4 linked regions of the Macaca mulatta genome follow. The protein of the gene in region 3 interacts with the protein of the main gene of each other region in a pairwise test. Links are inferred from orthologs where the notes say so. Each region holds a gene or a part of one and is shown on either strand. Other genes may lie near its edges.

Region 1 (3,008 bases), on a different chromosome or scaffold from region 3:
ATCCCTGTCTCAAATCCTCTTTCATAATAAGTCAGGGCATAAAGAAATAAGAAATGAAATCCAGCAGGCCATCATTTCTTTTTTGCATTTTTCATCATGGTTTCTCCTTCACTCTCAATCTCCATGTAAAGTCCCTATCCCATGAACTTCATGCCAGCCAGTGTGCCCCCTCTCCACCCGCCCCTGTGGCCACCACCCTCTGCCTCCTGCACTTCAGTCAGAGTCTGCAGCTCCACCCCAGGCCCCAGCATCAGGCTGGGAATTCAGCAAGCCTCAGAGGCCCCCAGCCAACTCCCCGGCCTCACAAGGCCTTCCTGTTCAGAGGCAATTAGGAAGTCTCGGTGTCTTTATCCCAGCCAGTTCCTCCCCACAGGGCCCGTGCCCTCTCTGTCACCGTTGGAAACTGCCCCCTCTAAATCACTGATTCAAACACTCCACACTGGCCACCACTTCCCGCCCCCCCCCCCAACTTCAGCTCTCTGGGGATAGCTTCTCCTTGATGTCTCACAGACACCTACAACCCAAAAAGACGGAAACTGGAAGGAGTCAGAAACATACTCATGGATTTACATCCTTTAGTAGCACTTGTTGATGACAACAGCAGATATTCCTCAGCTGTGACACATTTTTGCCCTGGCTAAGCCTGTGAGGATCCCCTCAAGGCTCTGGGACCCAGTCTTCAGTCATTCTTTCCGGATTTGGGCATCTCATCAAACACAAAGCGGGTTCCATCACTCTCAGTGCGGTGGGGCTCATGGTGGTTGTCCCCTTCTCTCTCCCCATCTTGTGAAGTGTTGCGCATCCTGCCATTGTTGATGGCCTCCAAGCCTACCTGCTCCATGATGTAGTCAGCAAGGCAATCGAGCAGGGTAAGGAGGATATTTATTGTGGAGGAACTCTGGCTTTGGGCATCTTGTTCATCTTGCACAACTCGGTCCACGAAGCTCATAGGGACCCGCAGCTCATTTCTAGACCGGTCTTGAATCTGGTTGTTATTTGCAGAGGAGTTCTTACGGTTATTTTTCTCTGACATGATATTTGCTGGGTTTGGCTCTGATCAGCTCTGCTTGATTCTCCAGCTCAAGTAAGTCTCTGAGGACGCTGGTGCTGCCTATTGGATCCCTCTGCTCCAGGCCCTGATTGGTCAGGGAGCTAGCTGCCTTTGTGACATCCCTAGGCTTTGTGATTTCACTGGTGTCCACTGGTCCCTGATCAGACCTCAGCTTAGAAATGTCTGTGACACTGATCTAGTCACCCTAATGACTGAACCCTGATTTTGAGGGAACTATAACTCTTTACCTGATTTTGACATTATAAAAATAAAAGTGTGTTTCAATGGAAAACTTTGCTCTATCTTTAGGACACCACTGCAGGTTATCTGATTCTAGCCTTACATTATCTGTGAAGTCTTTTATAGCCTTTTGTTAGTTGTAGGTGGCTGATACGTGTACAGTATATTCTTTAGTAGAGGTTCAGTTGTCTTCACCTTATGAAACCAGTTTTGCCTCCATGTGCACAATCATTTAATATTACTGATGAATATTCCCATATCGACTCTTTGGTTTCCCTTTTGAAGCAGTCATAACATCTTTTTCTTGTAGCATGTGTTCATTTCGTATCTGTATGAGTGTCATGATTTTACCCTATTTGAAAAATGCATTTTATTTATTTTTTTATTTTTATTTTTTATTATTATACTTTAAGTTCTAGGGTACATGTGCACAATGTGCAGGTTTGTTACATATGTATACATGTGCCATGTTGGTGTGCTGCACCCATTAACTCGTCATTTACATTAGGTATATCTCCTAATGCTATCCCGCCCCCCTCCCCCCTCCCCACAATAGACCCCAGTGTGTGATGTTCCCCTTCCTGTGTCCAAGTGATCTCATTCTTCAATTCCCACCTATGAGTGAGAACATGCAGTGTTTGGTTTTCTGTTCTTGCGATAGTTTGCTGAGAATGATGGTTTCCAGCTGCATCCATGTGCCTACAAAGGACACGAACTCATCCTTTTTTATGGCTTCATAGTATTCCATGGTGTATATGTGCCACATTTTCTTAATCCAGTCTGTCACTGATGGACATTTGGGTTGATTCCAAGTCTTTGCTATTGTGAATAGTGCTGCAATAAACATACATGTGTATGTGTCTTTATAGCAGCATGATTTATAATCCTTTGGGTATATCCCCAGTAATGGGATGGCTGAGTCAAATGGTATTTCTAGTTCTAGATCCTTGAGGAATTGCCATACTGTTTTCCATAATGGTTGAAAAATATATTTTAATCATTTTTCAATTAATAATAAGATGCTCAATAAGTTTACCTGTCAGTGTCAGGTAAACAGTTGATAGGGAAGTGCATCTTTTTTTTTTTTTTTTTTTTTTTTTTTTTTTTTTTTTGAGACGGAGTCTCGCTCTGTTGCGTAGGCTGGAGTGCAGTGGCCAGATCTCGGCTCACTGCAAGCTCCGCCTCCTGGGTTCACGCCATTCTCCTGCCTCAGCCTCCCGAGTAGCTGGGACTACAGGCGCCCGCCACCTCGCCCGGCTAGTTTTTTTTTTTTTTTTGTACTTTTTAGTAGAGATGGGGTTTCACCGTGTTCGCCAGGATGGTCTCGATCTCCTGACCTTGTGATCCGCCCGTCTCGGAGAAGTGCATCTTGTGCTCAGTTTAAGCCCAGATGTATATTTCTTGTCTCTCCTAGGTGAAGCAAAAGCACTAAGAGATGTTTCTTTTCTATTATTTAATTTTCCTTTCTAGTAATTCTGTGTTTTCCCTTTGACTTTGGTTCATTTACAGCCAATAACTTTGCCATTCCATAGGGGAAAAAGTAGAAAGAACAAAAGAGTCTTAAATCCAAACAATTTCAAAATCCAACCATTAGGTTTCAAGGCCTGGGAATATTCTATGACTTAAGACTCCTCCCTTTGATCACTCTGATCCTATGACTTCACCTGGGGTCATAAATCTGCCCTCTGGCCTCTAGGTTCTGCCCTCAGTCATTGTT
Region 2 (3,501 bases), on a different chromosome or scaffold from region 3:
GAGACAGGAGAATGGCGTGAACCTGGAAGGCGGGGCTTGCAGTGAGCTGAGATCCGGCCACTGCACTCCAGCCTGGGCAACAGAGCCAGACTCTGTCTCAAAAAAAAAAAAAAAAAAAATACGCATTAGTTGTAGACAGACGTCTCGTCCATAGGTCCCCAGACTGTGTGTCCACAACGCAGGGCTTCTCTTTGTGGGCCTGAAAGAGCACACGTCAGGCAAGACACGACGGCAACTGCGGAGACACTGTTTTCAGGGCCAAGGAGAATTCTCGGAGTCTGTGAGTTGCCTCCAAAACAGCCCCCAGGACACGCAGTCCCAGAGACACCGCAAAGCTCGAAACAGACATTTCATTCCTCCCCATTTCCACTCCCAGAAAACGACTGGGCCCTTAAAAGAGCTCCAAGGTATCCCCAAAGTCCCAGCCAGTCTTTGGAGGGTTTCCGAGGGCTGTCCAGGGTTCCAGAAGTCACCCTACCTCATACAATGCTCCTCCTGGGCTTCCCGCACTGGGGAACCCCACGGCTCCAGAACAACTGCCCTTTCCAACTTGCAGAGCACCTCAAGGACCTAAAGATCTCCCCGGGGAGGGCTCCAAAATATAGAGTTTGCATCGTGAACTCCCACCTCTGTAAAGCCCAGGACTCCAGTCCTCGCACCCCTCTGTCTCCCAGAGATCCCCAGGGGTCCAGAAATACCACCTCACTGCCTTCCAAGCTTCCCAAGGATCCGGAGACTCCTTATCTCGCAGCACAAACCTCAGGCAACTACAGGTCCTCCCCGCACCTCTGAGTTGCCCCTCCCCCACTCAAGGTTCCAGAAAAATCCATGCCCTCCGAAACCCCACAATCTGACTTACTTTCCCGAGGCACCCCCAGGACCCCAGGGTCATCAGTTCACAGGACTCTCAATGCTCCCATAAAACTATAGCCTCCCAGAGGAACCCCAGCCCCCACCCCCCCGCCCACGAAACCCTCCATTCCTCGAATCGGCCCCAGGGCCCCAACCCCCGCAAGCCCCCATTTCACAACACACTCGCGCTGCAGGCGCGTGACTTCCCCCTGCTTTGGGGCGGGGGCTGAGACTCCTGTGTGCTCCGGATTGGTCAGGCACGGCCTTCGGCCCCGCCTCCTGCCACCGCAGATTGGCCGATAGCCCGCTCCGAGCGCCCCGCCTCCGAGGGCCAGCGCACTATAAAAGAAGCCGCCCTAGCCACGTCCCCTCGCAGTTCGGCGGTCCCGCGGGTCTGTCTCTTGCTTCAACAGTGTTTGGACGGAACAGATCCGGGGACTCTTTCTTCCAGCCTCCGAGCGCCCTCCGATTTCCTCTCCACTTGCAACCTCCGGGACCATCTTCTCGGCCATCTCCTGCTTCTGGGACCTGCCAGCACCGTTTTTGTGGTTAGCTCCGTCTTGCCGACCAACCATGAGCTCCCAGATTCGTCAGAATTATTCCACCGACGTGGAGGCAGCCGTCAACAGCCTGGTCAATATGTACCTGCAGGCCTCCTACACCTACCTCTCTCTGGTGAGTCCCCAGGACGCCCCTGGCCCTAATTTCCCCCAGCTGCGCACGTTCGGCCCTCAGCGCAGGCGCCGGCCTTCTTTGTCCGGTCGAGTAAACAGAGGGCGGAGTCCCCCTTGGCCTCGCCTCCCGCTAAGCGTTGTTCCCTCCATCTCTTTCCTTAGGGCTTCTATTTCGACCGCGATGATGTGGCTCTGGAAGGCGTGAGCCACTTCTTCCGCGAATTGGCCGAGGAGAAGCGCGAGGGCTACGAGCGTCTCCTGAAGATGCAAAACCAGCGTGGCGGCCGCGCTCTTTTTCAGGACGTCAAGGTAACTAGTGTGTGGGTAGGGTAACGGACTACATCTCCCAGCAGGCCGTGCGCGCGAGGAGCCTTGATTTGAGGGCTTAGATGTCGCGTGGGCTTCGGGGAGATTGAGTTCGGTCTTGTGAGCCCTTTTACGGCTGGAAATAGAGGCGCACGTCGTGCAGTGCCCCCAGGACGCGGCAGTCCACACTGCTGCGTAGACTTAAGGACGTGTAGCTGTAAGAGCTAGGACGGGGTGCGGAGAGTGATAAATACAAGCTGTCACATGTCTTTGTGGCCTGGGCCTCTGACCCCCACCAATTCTTGGGAAATGTAGGTTTAGTTCCATGTGCCGAGTGTGTGTATTCTGAAGCCGTTTCTCCCTTCTGTATAGAAGCCAGCTGAAGATGAGTGGGGTAAAACCCCGGATGCCATGAAAGCCGCCATGGCCCTGGAGAAAAAACTGAATCAGGCCCTTTTGGATCTTCATGCCCTGGGTTCTGCCCACACGGATCCCCATGTACGTACCCCCTGCATCCATGGCTACCCAACCATACCCCTCAAGCCTTTGCTCTCTTTGGGCAAATTCCCTTCAGAGCCTCATTTAACACCTGTCATATTTTAATCTGCAACTGGCAGCTCTTTCTCCCTCTTTTCCAGGGATCGGGTTTCCTTTTTTTTTTTTTGAGACGGAGTCTCACTCTGTCGCCCAGGCTGGAGTGCAGTGGCCGGATCTCGACTCACTGCAAGCTCCGCCTCCCAGGTTCACGCCATTCTCCTGCCTCAGCCTCCCAAGTAGCTGGGACTACAGGCACCCGCCACCTCGCCCAGCTAGTTTTTTGTATTTTTTTTTTTTAAGTAGAGACGGGGTTTCACCATGTTAGCCAGGATGGTCTCGATCTCCTGACCTCGTGATCCGCCCGTCTCGGCCTCCCAAAGTGCTGGGATTACAGGCTTGAGCCACCGCGCCCGGCAGGGATCGGGTTTCTAATTTCTCCCTCTTCTCTCTCAGCTCTGTGACTTCCTGGAGACTCACTTCCTAGATGAGGAAGTGAAGCTCATCAAAAAGATGGGTGACCACCTGACCAACCTCAACAGGCTGGCCGGCCCGGAGGCTGGGCTGGGCGAGTATCTCTTCGAAAGGCTCACTCTCAAGCACGACTAAGAGCTTTCTGAGCCCAGCGACTTCTGAAGGGCCCCTTGCAAAATAATAGGGCTTCTGCCTAAGCCTCTCCCTCCAGCCACTAGGCAGCTTTCTTAACGACCCTAACAAGCCTTGGACCAAATGGAAATAAAGCTTTTTGATGCAGTTGGTGGTTTTGTGTGTGGTATGGAAGATGAGGTGGGATCTGTTCTCATAAAGCTTCTGGCTGGGTTGGGGATGCCAGTGAAAGAGGAGTTGGCCCCATCTCCCATTTTCTTATCTCTTCTAAGACAAGAAGCTATCTGGGTAGTGTTGAACTTGAGGGTTCTCTGCTTGCCTGGCTGTTAACTGTCCCTCCCAGATGGTAGAGATAGCCTCCAGGGAGTTGAATTAAGACCTAGGTTGGTACCTGGACACAGATCTGTTCGGTTTCAGCCAGAAACAGCACTATTTAATGAGTGATTATGAGGCCAGGTGGGCCGATCAGCTGATGTCAGGAGTTCGAGACCAGCCTGACCAACATGGAGAAACCCCGCCTCTACTAAAA
Region 3 (4,300 bases):
AATGAGGGCATCCAGTACCTTGCTGGGGGGTGGGTTAACCTTACATGGATGAGGAAGGGGATAGTCTGGCCTATGGCACCCCAGAGCTGGCTTCCTAGCATCAGGGCAGCCTGGCTTAGGAGGCCCCTGCTACAGAAGCAGTGGCATCTGTGGTCAGCTTGGGGGGCTTGCAAGGATGCCTGGCTTGGCAGACAATCTCAGTTGGGCATGGTTTCATCTGGGAAGGCCACAGACACATCTTCCACTGTGATGCTGTCCACGATGGAGGTGAGGGAGTGCAGGTTGTGGGCATCTGTAGGGTCAGCCGTGAGCAGATGATCTGTAAGGGGAGGTGGGAAGGTGGTACCTGGGTGAGGAGTGGGGGTTCTTGAGGCCCAGAATAGAGGATGGGACCCTTGGGGTGACACAGGTTTTCCAGGACAGATGGGGGATAAAGCTCCGGAGTTCTACTCCCTAGTCCCTGCCTTTCCCCATGCTCTGTGTGTGTGTGTGTGTGTGTGTGTGTGTGTGTGTGTGTGCGCGCGCGCGCCTCTTCTCTGAACTCCCCTAGTGAGGTAGGGTTTGGAAGCAGTCACTCAAGTTGGAGCAGGATGGAGCTCCCCAGAGACTGGACCTGCCCTTTGCTCGGCCCGGTTTTGCAGCACTGACTCAGCACTTCGCAGGGACCCCTGGGGCAGGGACATTGTCCTCTCTGTGGAGAAGGTCAACCACCAGGCATCAGCTGGGGAGCTGCAGGAGCCACTATCACTCCTTTGCTGGTCAAGACTGCAGGGCTACACAGAACCTCCCAGCCCACCCTTTGGGTCCTGGAGTCAGCAGGTCCCTGGAGAGACCCAAGGGAAGAGGACCGGAGCAAGGAATAAGGTAAGAGGGAAGAACGCCCAGGGAGGGACTGAGGGATTGGAGTCAAGGTTACCAGGGTCAAGCCTCACTTACCCCCGGGGTTGGCGCCGAACTCCAGTGCGCTGCCCCACTCTGGACTGCAGGAGGCGCTGTGAGAGCTGCATTCGCTGGGCACCTGCAAGACAGGGCGAAGGCCCAAGGTCGGGGCACAGCCGTTCTTTGATGTGTCTCTCTGCCTAGTCCCAGTGGGCAGAAGCACCTGTGGTGGGGTTGGAGGGTGGGCCACAGGCTGTGGCCTTCCAGCCCAGGCCATCCCCAACCCCAGAATCTTAGTAACCAGCTCCTCTCATGTCCTAGAGGCCCTGCTTCCAGGCCTTCTTGGCTTCCATCCTGAGTGGTGGTTCTGCCCTCACAGGACCCCAGGTTAAAGGTCCCTGGTTCTCCTGACTCTGGTGATAAGGGTGATGGAGACAGATTTTCTGGCCCAGTGAAGGTCACTCTGTGCAGGCCTGCTGGAGTTCCAATGAGACTGAGTGGGTTTTCTCTCTGCTCAGCCACACCCAGGATGGGGGTGGGGCAGGGGGCAAAGCAGCCTTCTCTGGTGAACTTGGCCTGGCTTTTTAGGCTCTGACTCAGGCTCTGCGATTAATCCTCACCCTTACCCGGGCTGACTGTGGCCTTGCTCCTGATCCTTTCTTCAGTCCTGTGTTCCCCACCCCCACCCTTTCTGCACTTCCTCCTCACTGCCTCTATCTCGTCTGGAAAGAACACAGGACACAGGGGGTCAGCTGGATAGCCCAGCTCTGACCAGGGAAGGGCTCCTGAAGCCCCTCGACCCTGTCTGGCACCTGCTCCAACCCTCTGAGCCCCTCTTGGGGTCTTGAGGCTGTCCAGGTGCCTCCCTCTGGCCCCCTCCCCCTGGGGCAGGGGGACGGGATGGCCACTTACCCCTGGCTGGGGCCCACCCCCGCCCCGGTAGCGGAGGTCACGCTCCTCCTGGTTGAGGGAGCTGAGCAGGGTCTGGAGGCGCTCGATGTATTGGATGGCGCTGCGCAGGATCTCCACCTTGGGCAGCCGCTGGTTGGGGTTGAGCAGGGTGCTCCTCTTCAGGGCCTCGAAGGCCTCATTCACCTTCTTGAGCCTGCGCTTCTCCCTCAGTGTGGCCGCCCGCCGCCGGTCCACGGACACCGACTTCCTCTTACACACCTTACACGCCCACGGAAGGCACTGGCCCGGACAGTGCTCGGGGGTGCCCAGCCCCTTGTCTTCGAGGGGCCCTGGGGTCTCGGGGCTCAGGGTGAGCTCCGTCCGCTCATAGCCTGGTGGCTCGAAGCCCTGGAGGTGGACAGGCAGGTAGTTTTCCCCGTCATAGAAGCGGGGTTCCTGGTAGAAGTAGGGGGATGTCTCATACAGCTCCATGGGGTCAGAAAAGGCTTGTTCCTGCCACCAGACCCCAAGCTCCTGCAGCCCCTCACGCCAACTGCTGGGTGCCATTTAAACCCTCCCCGCTGGCATGGAACCAGAGATAAATATAGCCAACGCCACAGAAACCTGAGCCCCCTCTAAGCTGTTGCTGCACATCAAGACGTTTACAGTGGATTAGATGTGATTCCCCTTCTCTCTCCCCCATGGCCCCCACCCCACCCAGCCAGCCTGTCCCTGGCCCAGGCGGGCTCCTGTGCACGGGTCGGGAGGCCGTCGGGTGTAATTTGATTAGTTTTCATTTCTCAGCAGCCCCTGTGGGGCAGGGGCATTGGGGGAGGACACATTCCCCTCTCATCTGCTCCTTTCAATTACTCCTAGCTGGGCGGCCTGCCTGCTCTCTCCTTGCTAGTCCCCAAGAAGCTGGTGGGTGTAGGGGGAGGAGGGAACAAGGAAGGGTAGGCTTAGGCTGGAAGAGGCCTTAAGAGCCAACTTATCCATCTCCCTGCTTCCTGACAGCACCTTAACCACACTACATCAGTCGATGAGACTCTTAAAGACCTCCCTCCCGAAAGAATGGGACTGCTTCAGATTCTGGGCATTCATGGGCACTCAGTATCCAGGGATAAAAGGGATCAAGACTCAGAGCAGCTAATAGATTCCACTTTTGGGGTTCCCAAGCAGCTCTGACCTGTATGTTCTCTTAGGTCTCATGTGATGGGGGGTAAGTTGAGGCAAGAGAAATTATTTGGGTTTTGGTTTTCTTGGCAGGGGTCAAGAGAAATTTTCTCTTTAATACAGCGGCCGTGGTCAGAGCAGAGATTAGAATTTACAGCTTACACGTGCCACCTTCCCCAGAGCCGCAAGGTCAAGATGTACTAAGCTCCCTGTCTCCTCCCTGTCTCACTCCGGACCATTGATCTGTCCTTCTATGTTACCTCCTCAACTCTTTTTCCAACACCAGAATTTTCCTGACTCATTACTGTGGATGGGGGTGAAAAAGGAGAAAAAACAGAGCCCTTCAAACTCAGTTTAAATCTCTTCTCTCCTTGGCCATCGGGCTTGGTTGTTCTGCCTCTTCATCTGAGCCATCAATTTTACATGTATCATGCAGGTCTCAAATGTCAGGTGGAGCAGGGACTGTATAATCTTCGGGCCTCTCAGGCCATGGTCACCTCTCAGTAGGTGCCTCAGGGTCTGAGAGGACAAATTCTTTCCAATGCAGTGGGCAGACCTCAGACACCAGCAGTGAACAAGGCTCAGTCTTAGGGCTGGGGATTATAGGGACACCCCAGACAGGGTCCCTGCCCTTGACCTTACCATCTGGTAGACAATGGTGGTCACCTCTTTCTACCTAGCCCCTGATGACCGAATCTCCTCCCAGGCAACCACTGTTCAGCTTCTGCTCACGTCAGGAGACAGCCCCTTCCATTGACGTGCAGCTTTGAGCTGCAATCTTCTCCCTCTATCTTTTACCCTTTGTTCCTAGTTTTTTCCCTTAGGCCCCATAGACCAAGTCTGATCTGTCCTGCTCCTCATCCTATGACAGATCAAAATGACAAGTTCAAGCCGGTGGCAAGGACAATGAGAGGAAGGGGAACCCTGCTGGGGACTCAGGGGAGATTACAAGGGAGATGAGATCTGTGCAGCATGTGAAGAACCAGTGTTCCTTCCTCTCATTGTTCACAGCAGGGAGCCAGGAGAATTCTGATGTCCTTTTGGGATAGGAAACGGGGGGAAGGAGGGAACATAGCTGAACAATAAAAGAGCCCTAAGCATGTTGAGGGAGAACAGTGAGGTCTTAATTCTGTTCTTGGCCTTACCAGCATGATAGAAAGTAGCAGCATAGACTGGGTGTGGTGGCTTATACCTGTAATCCCAGCAGTATGGGAGGCCGAGGCCGGTGGATCATGAGGTCAGGAGTTCAAGACCAGCCTGGCCAAGATGGTGAAACCTCGTCTCTACTAAAAATACAAAAATTACCCGGACATGGTGGTAGGCACCTGTAATCCCAGCTACTCAGGAGGCTGAGGCA
Region 4 (4,040 bases), on a different chromosome or scaffold from region 3:
TTTTAAACATTCAACCAACAGACTTTTACTGAATTCCTTTAACGCACAAAGCATACTAAATATAGAACCCAATCCCTAGCAGCAATGAGCAGGTAGGAAGGTAAAGACGGTATTATCTATCACACACGCTTGACTTAAACACATATTTATTCATTCATAAACATTTGCATGGAACCAACTAAATCCAGGAATCAAATGGCATTGGAGCCCAACTGCCAAATGAGGGACACAGACACTAGGAACAGAGGTCGGAAGAGGACCTCCACATGCTAGGCCTCCACCTACTCTGTCCTGCTATGCTTCCCATTGCTTCCCCAGTCCAAGCCAACTAAGAGAACCCTGACCCAAGCTTTTCTGCCTCTTTAATCCCCCGGCCCCTTCCTCCAGCACACCCTTCCCCTCCTCACTGTACAGGTTAAGATCCTCTGTGCCTCCTAAAAACTAAGCCTTGCCTGCCCTCTATGCTACAGGTGTGGCACTCCCTCTCTTTCACCTCCTCTCTCATGAAACTCTCTTCAGACTTCCCTGAAGACACTTGTCATAGTGTGCCTTGTGTCACATTTGTGTATGTTATGTCTATACCCCAAGCTTCAGAAATTCCTTCAGGCAGGTGCTGGGATGTCTTTGTATTCCTAGCTTGGGTGCTCAACATTATTTGTAGAACTGAATTTGTGGGGAAAGAGGCATTTAGACTCAGAATGGCAGGGCTGCATCATGAAGTACAACTCCCTCACCTGACTCTTGACGAAACTGAGGTCCAGAGACATGAAGTGATTAGTCAGGGGGAGGTCCAGCACTCCAAGCTGAATTGAAGAAGTGACTGGGGGGCCGGGGTTGGTAGTGGATAAACTACAATGTTCTCTTGCCTAATCATTTGGCTTGCTTATTTCCTTAAAAGTCTAAATATTTGATGCCACATATTTCTTTTGCCTAACCCAAACTCTCTGGACCTGACTCTCGGAAATGCTTGAAGTATTTCATACAAGTATAATCAATGCATTAAGCACCTGGAGCAAAGTGGCTGGAACCAGACCAGAAATTGATGTTCCCTCCTCTAAGAGCCAACTGCACCATAGCTATGCTTCTCCTGAACTACTGATCAGTCTACCTTGCTTTAGTGTTGTCTGTGGATTCATCTCTCCCCCTGCAACCTCACTGTGGACTCCATGAGGGCAAAAACCATGTTCTCTACAGCTTTGTATTCCCAGAGCTTACCACCATGCCTGCCACTTACATGCTCCATAAATGCTGTTGAAGGAATAGATTAATAAAAAAGCCATCTACCAGCACTGAGCACTCACTAAACATAAAGCACTTATATGGATTACCTCACTTAATCCTTAACATTACCCTGATAAAGATCATTAGTGGCTGAATGTTACAGATGAGGAAACTGAAGTACGCAGAAGTTTAATAACTTGCCCAAGTTTCTCAAAAATAGTAACTGATGCAGCCATTAAAAAGAACGAAATAATGTCCTCTGCAGCAACATGGACGCGGCTGGAAGCCACTATCCTCTTTTTTATTCTCTTTTGTTTGAGAAGGAGTCTCAACTCTGTTGCGCACGCTAGAGCGTAAGAGGCATGATCTCAGCTCAATGCAACCTCCACCTTCCGGGTTCAATCAGTTCTGCCTCAGCCTCCCCAGTAGCTGGGATTACAGGTGTGCACCACCACACCCGGCTAATTTTTGTATTTTTAGTAGAGACGAGGTTTTCCCATGTTGGCCAGGCTGGTCTCGAACTCCTGGCCTCAGGTGTTCCTCAGCCTCGGCCTCCCAAAGTGCTGGGATTACAGGCGTGAGCCCGGCCTGGAAGCCATTATCCTAAGAGAATTAACACAGGAACAGAAAACCAAACACCGCATGGGAGTTAAAACTGGGCACGCATAGACATAAAGATGACAATATAGACACACTGGTGACTACTAGAGCAGGGAGGGAGGCAGTGGGGCTAGGAGTAAAAAACTACCTATTGGGTACTACGCTCACTACCTGGGTGAAAGGATCATTCATATCCCAAACCTCAGCATCACGCACTATACCCAGGCAACAACCCTGCACCAATGTACCCCCCTGAATCCAAAATAAAAGTTGAAAACATTTAAAAAACTTTTGTGACAATAGTAGTGAAAACAGTATTTGAACCCAAGTCTGCACACGGTTAAACCCATGCTTCTCAGCAATGCATACGCAGGACAACAGTGGACCTAAGTGGTCCGTGGGTGCCAGGGAGGCGGCCACTGGGCCAAGGGCACAGGGTATGGTCAAGTCTCCAGCAATGCACTTTTCTCAGCACTACCACCCTCAGCCCGAACCAAGGACTGGAAGGAGCCCCAGGGAGTGTGGGTGGAGAGCGGGGCAGGAACCCGTGGGCCCGGGAACGAGGAAGGGGGGTCGCTTACCTATTATGGGCACCTCAGCGATGAAGACCCTCCGAATCGAATTGGCCACCCTGAAAGACGAAAAGCCAAGAGGCGTGAAGGCGCTGCAGCCTCGACAGGCTGGGCCCGCGCCGCAGGCTCCCAAAGCTAAAGCCCTGGCGCAGGGGGGCAGCTCTGGAAGGACATCACCCCCACTCCACCCCCGCTCCCTGCCCCCGGGGCCCCGGCTTGGGCCTCCCGGCGCCCCAGAGCCGCCAGCCTCTTCCCTCGGCAGCCTTACGCCAGGTCGGTGTTCTCGATGATGAACTTCACATTCTCGTCAGTGAGCTCAGTGATCCGCACGGTGGGCTGGTTGGCGTACGGCATCGCTCCCCGTGGCCGCCAGCCTCCGCGTCAGCTCCGCGGTGACTGCGCCTGCGCCACCGCCGACACCGGAAGTCAGTCAGCGTGGCCTCCGCGAAGACGGCTCACAGCGCCGCCTGCTGCTCGGAGGCCGGAACCGCCGAGCGTCTTCTACCGCCTCCTGCTTTAAAATGTACCGGATTCAGCTATCTCGGAGGGTAGTTTGGCAAAACACGCGTACGTCCTCGACTTAACAGTAACATTTCTAAGAACTCATACTGCAGAAACACTTGCAGTTGTAAACAAAGATACGAGTGCAGGGACATTCATGGTAGTACTGTTTGTACTGTCCACTGATAAGAGACCTGGTGAAGTATACACACGTAGAATATCATGAAGCCCTTAAAAAGAACTTGTACATCTACAGAAAAACAAAAGTATATTTTAATATGAATGCATATTTTAGGAAAGTATACCTGAATTATAAGTAAATACCCTTTCCCTTGCAGTCTCAAGTATGGACCATGCACTTCTGAAAACTTCAGGAAAAGATATAATATTCTTTAACCTAATGCTTCCTCTGCAGTCTGTGTAGCTGCGGTGGGTGAGTGGGAGCTCTTTGTCTCTGCATCTCCAGTGCCTCGCAGTGGGCACCATGTGGGGTGCATGCTCAACCAACAACTACTGAAGTCCCCTAAACAGACTGGAGAGAGTCTCAAACTCTCAATGGGCCTCAAACAAAGTGGCGGCTGCTCCAACAGACAAAAGCTCTAAAATAGAACTTGACAGGAGCTACATTTAAGAGGTGGGAGAAGAGTAACCAGATAAAGAGTTTGCCTTTGCAAAGACTGACACCTCTTCCTGAGACAGAGGGTGGGCACTGATGGAACCCTGCTCCATAGCCTGTGTCATCTCTGTAAATTAAGAATTATGGTTGTCTGCTGAGTGTGAGATGGATGCTATGAAGGAAAAAGGAGAATGCAATGAAAACTGGAACAGCTACTGCAAAAACTTCACAGGATGTCAAAAGATACAAGGAATGAAGAGAGGTACAAAAAAGATCCAGTGGAAGACCCACAAGAGATCTGAAATTCAATTAGTTGCTGACTTCCCCCAATAATATTTAGCTGACTTAGGCAGAAGAGAGCAAAGCAGAAAACAGAGCTAACCAGACATGCAAAGGGAACCCAGCCAGTGTACAGGCTGAGAAAATTACTGGGGCTAAAGAATGTACCACTGAAATCGTCAGACAAGGGCAGCCAAGAGAGCTAATGGTCTGTGGGAAGGCTTCTGTTACCCCTATTTTACTGATGGGAA

Evidence for each region. The genes of interacting proteins can lie anywhere in the genome.
Region 1: the proteins of MYOG (region 3) and H2AP interact in binary tests that used the Homo sapiens proteins (3 or more experiments, as listed by UniProt). The two-hybrid records come from large-scale screens. The link is inferred for Macaca mulatta from reciprocal best matches to the Homo sapiens genes MYOG and H2AP.
Region 2: the proteins of MYOG (region 3) and FTL interact in binary tests that used the Homo sapiens proteins (3 or more experiments, as listed by UniProt). The two-hybrid records come from large-scale screens. The link is inferred for Macaca mulatta from reciprocal best matches to the Homo sapiens genes MYOG and FTL.
Region 4: the proteins of MYOG (region 3) and POLR2C interact in a two-hybrid assay, tested with the Homo sapiens proteins (2 studies listed by BioGRID and IntAct). The link is inferred for Macaca mulatta from reciprocal best matches to the Homo sapiens genes MYOG and POLR2C.

What each region holds. Positions count from the first base shown.
Region 1 is NC_133426.1:37,817,893-37,820,900, reverse strand, and holds H2AP (huntingtin-interacting protein M), read right to left. Parts: upstream 1,805-3,008; 5' UTR 1,034-1,804; coding exon 680-1,033; 3' UTR 501-679; downstream 1-500.
Region 2 is NC_133424.1:61,421,569-61,425,069, forward strand, and holds FTL (ferritin light chain), read left to right. Parts: upstream 1-1,224; 5' UTR 1,225-1,425; coding exon 1,426-1,527; intron 1,528-1,688; coding exon 1,689-1,835; intron 1,836-2,204; coding exon 2,205-2,330; intron 2,331-2,822; coding exon 2,823-2,975; 3' UTR 2,976-3,001; downstream 3,002-3,501.
Region 3 is NC_133406.1:60,809,055-60,813,354, forward strand, and holds the start of MYOG (myogenin), read right to left. Parts: upstream 2,801-4,300; 5' UTR 2,338-2,800; coding exon 1,792-2,337; intron 1,019-1,791; coding exon 937-1,018; intron 865-936; exon of another isoform or gene 663-864; intron 320-662; coding exon 198-319; 3' UTR 1-197. UniProt on the Homo sapiens protein: Acts as a transcriptional activator that promotes transcription of muscle-specific target genes and plays a role in muscle differentiation, cell cycle exit and muscle atrophy.
Region 4 is NC_133425.1:53,058,717-53,062,756, reverse strand, and holds the start of POLR2C (DNA-directed RNA polymerase II subunit RPB3), read right to left. Parts: upstream 2,801-4,040; 5' UTR 2,748-2,800; coding exon 2,662-2,747; intron 2,453-2,661; coding exon 2,403-2,452; intron 1-2,402. UniProt on the Homo sapiens protein: Core component of RNA polymerase II (Pol II), a DNA-dependent RNA polymerase which synthesizes mRNA precursors and many functional non-coding RNAs using the four ribonucleoside triphosphates as substrates.